Linked DNA regions of Mus musculus. The protein of the gene in region 1 purifies or fractionates together with the protein of each later gene. This does not show direct contact. Links are inferred from orthologs where the notes say so. Each region holds a gene or a part of one and is shown on either strand. Other genes may lie near its edges.

Region 1 (3,522 bases):
CCGTGGCCTCCTCTTATGTCCTGTTGAATTTCCTGTGAAATCCAGTTTCTGCTTTGGAGTTTCCATAATGGCTGTGGTGCCATTTCCTTCCTGCATTGGTGCTGGTGTGCCTGCGTCTCTGCCTCGTGACTGTGTTTGTTTCTCAAGTATGGAAAGTTCTTTCATATCCACTTTCATGAGACTCATCTTAGACCGTCTCTTTGTGCTTGCCGGGGTTTTGACTGGTTCTGCTTGTGAAGATTCCAAAGATATCTTTGCACTTTCCTCAACAGTCACTGAGTCACTGGCACCAGCTGGTGTTTGGAAGAGTTCTTGGAAGCCATCCAGGTCTTCTAGGGGCTGAGACCTGTTCTTAGATGTTCGTGACCTTCTCTTACTCCCTGATGAATTCCCTGCAAAATCCAGTTTCTGCTTTGGAGTTTCCATGAAGGCTGTGCTGTCATTTTCTTCCTGCACTGGTGCTGGTGTGCCTGGGGCTCTGCCTGGTGACTTCGTTCTTTTCCCAAGTGTTGAAGGTTCTTGTCTCACATCCACTTTACTGAGACCTGTCTTGGAGAGTCTCTTTGTGCTCGCTGGGGTTCTGACTGGTTGTGTGTGTGGAGATTTGCTGGGAATTTTTTTGATTATGTTAGTAGGAACTGGTGATATAAAGAGTTCCTGGAAACAAGTCAGGTCTTCCAGGGGCTGAGCCTTTTTTTTAGATTTTTCTAAAGTCCTCTTGCTTCCATTTACTGTTGAGGTCAGCATTTCATTTTCAGATTGCTTCAAAGCTTTGATATCCTCACACTCAAGTTTTAAAATTTTGGGATTATGCCTGGATTCCCCTGGCATATGTATACGTTTTGTCAAGGCAGAGCTTTCTTCCTTCATGTCTACTTTCTTCCCAGATGTGCTAGTCTGTGGCTTTGTGTTTGTTGTGATATTCTCTGTTGTGACTTGTGGTGATTTGCAAAGGACTCTAGTTCTGTCTTCCGTTATAGGTTTATCTTTGGGGTTTGGTGTTTCAAAGTGTTCCTTGAGACCAGCTGGCCCTTCTAGAGGTTGTGCCTTTTTGCCAGGGGTCTTTGGCGAGTGCTTCTCTTTGGTTGCATATACTATTATGTTCACTTTCTTTTCTGTAATTCCTTGATCCTCACTTATTGATGTGTTTTGCATGTGCATGGATTCCTCTAGGTTTTGTATGGTTCCTTGTCCTTGACTAAGTAGTTCCTCAGCATAGTCTGCTGTTTGGGTGACCATCTGACTTCCTAGTAAGTCTTTTGTCGGCTTCTGCTTCCTGGCACTTGATCTCCTAGCTGATGTCTTTTCTGAACCTTCACTTAATTCACCACTTTCCTTGCATCTTTGAGGAGCGTTTTCATTGTCCTGCACCTGTTGATCTACTTTTTGTTCTCGAAATGTCCCCCTTAAATGTCTTGCTGTGGTGTTCTCAGCAAGGACTGCTTCTGTTTTTTCATTCATAGTTTCCACAAGGGTATGTCTGAGCTCTCTAGATCTTCTTAACTTGCTCACACTCGATGCAGTCTTCAGGGGCTCTGTCTCAGAGACCGGAGTCTTCTTCTCAAGGTCAGTAATGTTATGGACATTCTTAGGAGTTTGCACTGTGTTTTCATGTTTGATGCTCCGCCGTCTTAAGGTAGGACTTGCAGAATATCTATCAGACTGCTGCTTTGCTGCATTCCGAGTACTGGATAGCACTTTTTCTCCTATAAGAAAGAAAAATATATACATAAAAAAATGTATCATTTTTCACCACCTAGTATCAGCTTATTATTTTATCTTTAGGAAGTATATAAGAACCAATAATTTAGCTTCTTTTCTACCAAGCAGTTCCTAGATGATCTCGACCCTGTTCTATTTATGATCTATTAAATATTATTTGGTAACAGAGAAGAGCCATTGTGAAGTATCCTTAAGAAGGGTCCTCTAAAGCCTGCCAACATGTGTGACATGGACCTGAATACAGGCAATATTTTTTCTGAAACAGTCACTTATTATCTTGATTCACTAATGAAGTAATAGATTCTACTGTACTTGTTTAATATCCAAATCCAATTCTGCATGGAAGCAGTTGTGACCCTCCTACCTCCTTCCAAGTCCTTGAATTAAAGCCATATACTACAAAGTCTCTGCAATGCTATAGACGTAGCCCAGAGTTTCCCAAATGCCAGGCAAGCACTCTACCAATCGAGTTACATCTCTATCCTTGCAATAATTTTTATTTTGTGTAATTTATATATAAACATAGCAGGACAAGTGTACTGTTTGTATCTCTTTCCTCCTATAACGAAGAAGTTGAAAGCAATACAGACACCATTTAGACTTACTAACTGAGTGAATAATACTTCCTATCAAGCTAGGTCAATGATTAAGGCTTAGAAAATTGCAAAGTCTGCTTGAAAACAGAACAGAGAAAGTGGAAACGGCATTTCACCAGGAAAAGCTATTGTAGAGAAGGAACCCAGTATTGTCTATAAAGAAAAGGCAGTCTTCAAGTCTCCATTCCAAAGTTTAACATTGGAAAAGACAAATAAACCAACCCAAAATCTCTGTGGTGATGGGCTCAGGTATGTCTCCTGAATTAGTTACTTGCAATTGTCTTTCAGACAAATTCGCTGAATTGGAAAGTACGGAGCCTGTATCACTCATCTGCTGCTGCTTCTCCTTCACTGGAGTCTTGAACATTTCAGTTAGTCCTGATAAAGGAAAACATTGGAAACATGGCTTACATTATCTCATTCCCCATGCAAAACAATGTAGATGACAAAAACAAGTTTTCAGATTCCAGGTATGCATCATCTCATTAAAATGTTGATTTTTGTTAATATGCTCGTAAAAATTAAAGAAAACAAACAAACAAACAGACAAACCCAACAACACATAGAGCCAACTTCTCTAACCCTCTCCTATGGAAAAGGAAATCCAGTGATTTAGTTGACCTCTGTCATTTTCTAAACTAGTTCCCCAAAACAAGCCCCAGCAAAGGGACAAAATTTAGGTATGGGTACCTCTCCTCGGAGTACTGATATCTGGAAATCCATGACCCAGGGGCCTTGTTATACCCTCAAGAAGTTTCTCAGATCTAAATCCTAAGTACAAATAATACATTTCTACAGTTTAGAATACTGACACAACACTGACCATTTTCAGGCTCATCAAGAACACACACTCGCGCGCACACACACACTCTAATCGAAGTATCATCCCTCCCTACTCACGTTGACATCAGAAAGGCCGTAGTGACATAATTCCATATGGATGACTGAGCTCCCTGAAAAGCTCAAGTGTCATGCTTCTGTCTGGTTGGCTCCAAAGAATGAGAACTTGAGCTGGCATTCGCCACAGAATGGGTCTGGGAACTGTTGAAGTGTCTATCTGAACTTGCCTGTTCAAAGTCTCCTTTTTCCATAGCCTTCAGGGCCTTACTTGCTTACTTGAAACATCAGGGTTTACCTTCGAATGTTTTAAAATGGAAGCTGCCAGGCCAGGCATGGTAGCCCTAAGAAAGCAGGGGTAGGCAGA
Region 2 (3,149 bases), on another chromosome or scaffold:
ATGTTACCACAAGTGCTTAGAAAGATACTGATTTTTTCTAAAGATACCCAGCAGATAAAGACCACATGCAGGTAAAGCTTCAGAGGGGTTTCCAAGGCTGGAGAGATGGTTCAGTCAACTAAAGGCTAGGCTCACAAATAGAATATCAGGAGTGATTTCCAAGAAAAGATGTGTTCATTGGAACAGCCTAAACTATTTAGTTCCTGTAATTTTACTTTTTCAGAATGTATTTCTTTTGTCTATGAGGACTGAGAAGAAACACAAAGGTCATGAAACTAATAGGAAGGCAAGGTTCAGAAATGAGTTCTCTCCTTCTACCATGAGTCCCGGTCATTGAACCAACCGAGGTCATCAGGTTTGACCACAAGCACCCTTGCCCACTGAGCCATCTCATTGGCACTTGTACCTCCAATTCTAAACCTAAGAACCATAGTTGCCTTGTGGGAGACAGGTTTATGTTGACACATTTTAGTTCTCATAGATGTGACAACCTTTGGCATATTTCCTAGAAGATTCAATGTTAATTTGCTTTTTCAGAAAACGGAGAGGAATAAATTCATTTACTATGGAATTGGAGATGATACAGGGAAAATGGAAGTGGTGGTTTATGGAAGACTCACCAATGTCAGGTGTGAACCAGGCAGTAAACTAAGACTTGTCTGCTTTGAATTGACTTCCACTGAAGATGGGTGGCAGCTGAGGTCTGTAAGGCACAGTTACATGCAGGTACGTGCTCTAGGAAATACCAGTCTTCCTAAGAATCACATACTTTTTGTTTGCTTGTTTTTGTTTTTGTTCTTGTTTTTTGTTTGTTGTTTGTTTGTTTGTTTGTTAATTTCGAGACAGGGTTTCGCTGTGCAGCCCTTACTATCCTGGAACTTACTCTGTAGACCAGGCTGGACTGAAACTCAAAAATGAGCCTGCCTCTGCCCCTGGAGTGCTGGGATTAAAGGCATGCACCACCACTGCCCAGTGCTTTTTAATACTCTAGTAAAGGATGAGTATTGGTAATACATGGAAAATCAAATAGGTAGAGGAAAAATTAAGGATTGCTCATTTAACATATAAGCTTCATTCCATTACTTTTAATAAGAGTTTCTAAACATAACAAGGAAAACAAATGCAGAAAGACAAACATTTTTATATGTTTAACTAATTGATTTAAAAGAAAACTATCAGATTTTTCAAAACAGAGAGTACATTTGACAGGAAAATCAAGGTGTTTGTTTCAAATTCTGACTCTAGTTTTTCAAGTTGACCAAATACTAAAACACAACCTCAGAGTATTCATTTATAAGATGCCAATACTTTCTGTTGCAGAGGATTGTGGACAAAATCATAAGTCCCCAATGAAGCCTTGAGGAAATGAGATGACAAGGAGATGCAGTAAATGTCCACCCACAATAAGCTAGTTCAAAGAACACGCCACACCACTCAGTTATAATACTTATAAGCTGCACAGCTAGATTACACAGATATACCACTAAACAACTCTTTTACCCAGCTATGAGATCCCTTGCTATTCGTGGCTTCTCCAGGCCACATGGCTCTGCCCCATCTTTCTTCCACCTCCTATTCCTCCTCCTTCCTCTGTCTCCTCCTGCTCATCTACCTCTCTCTTCTCTTCAGGCTCTCTAATACCTCCAGCCTCAAATTTCCCTTCCACTGCCAAATCACTGATTCTACTTTTTATTTGACATGGTAAAATGGGGAGAAGGTTCACATGAAATCACCTAAGTATATAATCTACTCCTTGTTGGGGCAGCTCCTCTTGAAAAAAACAGGATTAACATCAAAATACAAATAGCACGAGGCAATCCAAAACAACAAGGTGCGAATATCCACCCTCCTCTTCATATTTACAAACATCTGTGTGGTTTTCTATTTAAACACACAGACACACACACACACACACACACACACACATCACTATTATAATGTAAAGAAAAGAAACATAAGTGATAACTTCTTCACGTAGAAATGCTCTTAAACTACCAGTGTTCTCTAAACCATCAGCCATTTGCCAAAACTCCAATCCTCCTTACCTCAGGAATTGCAACACTTTCCTTTTCCCTGTACCTCTGTAACACACCCTGCACTTTGAACATTGCTCAAGCTGTAGGAGTAACTTGCTAATTTTACAATTCCAAGCAAGAGAACAAAGCTGACTCCAAGAACAGAGATGTATTTAAGGTCAGAGTGAGAAAAGGGCACATGGCACTCATGGTGAGTAGTCAGCAAGAAAGGTGTGGACCCCACTGCATTCCAAGTGATCTGACTTCATTGTTTTCTTCTTTAAGGTCATCAATGCTAGAAAGTGAAGGAAAGCCACTCAACCCAGACTCAGTCGGGAGAACCTCTCTGGAACCATACTTCTGAAAACCTGAATGCCAATGATATTTTTTTGTGGAGATAAGATTCAATTACAGAAAATAAATGTGTATAAGCCTATTGAAATATCAGTCCTATAAAGACCATCTCTTAATTCTAGGAAATGGTGTTTTCTTATATTCTTTACACATTTTCTATATCTAAATTCATTTGTTGTCTCTATAACTTCTATAACTGTTCAATTTGCAATTTTTATGCCTAAAACTTATAAAAATAAATTCACACAATTTCTGTAAAGCAGTGTGCCTTTGGGAGTATCATTTAAACATTTGAGATGTGCTTAAAAATAAATAGTTAGTGGTCCTCAGGTAAAGCTGGAGAATACAGACACCAAATGTGATGTGTAAGGACAAAGCATGTTCAGGAGCAAAGATGTCTATTCTGCCCATTAATGTCAAGGTATTAATAAGATGTGGGAGAAGGTAGAACTCAGCCTTGAGTATAGTTCCAAAAATAATATGCTGAGAACAGGATCAAGTCTTCACACCAGCTATGCTGAGTAATGTGAGTGCGTTATAGAGTTTAGATATTGGAAAAAAATCCCCAGAATGAGGTGTTTACGGTGGGGCATAGTATTTTTAAAAGTAAGGAATCCCATCTTCAATTCCAGAGTCAAATAAAATAACTGCAAATCTTTAAAGCCAAATAAAGAAGGATTATGATAAAGGAAATCAAGGGAATTAAGAAATTGATATTCTCCCAGAGGTCTTTCTAGACTATTGCTTACATTTCTCTCTGCTGTGAAGACTTATTTTATA

Evidence for each region. The genes of interacting proteins can lie anywhere in the genome.
Region 2: the proteins of Mki67 (region 1) and Ifi204 purify together in Homo sapiens (affinity purification with mass spectrometry; 3 studies listed by BioGRID and IntAct, with this or other methods). This does not show direct contact. The link is inferred for Mus musculus from reciprocal best matches to the Homo sapiens genes MKI67 and IFI16.

What each region holds. Positions count from the first base shown.
Region 1 is NC_000073.6:135,699,362-135,702,883, forward strand, and holds part of Mki67 (proliferation marker protein Ki-67), read right to left. Parts: intron 2,697-3,522; coding exon 2,541-2,696; intron 1,707-2,540; coding exon 1-1,706. UniProt on the Homo sapiens protein: Protein that associates with the surface of mitotic chromosomes and acts both as a chromosome repellent during early mitosis and chromosome attractant during late mitosis.
Region 2 is NC_000067.6:173,746,772-173,749,920, reverse strand, and holds the end of Ifi204 (interferon-activable protein 204), read left to right. Parts: intron 1-537; coding exon 538-726; intron 727-2,300; coding exon 2,301-2,321; 3' UTR 2,322-2,628; downstream 2,629-3,149.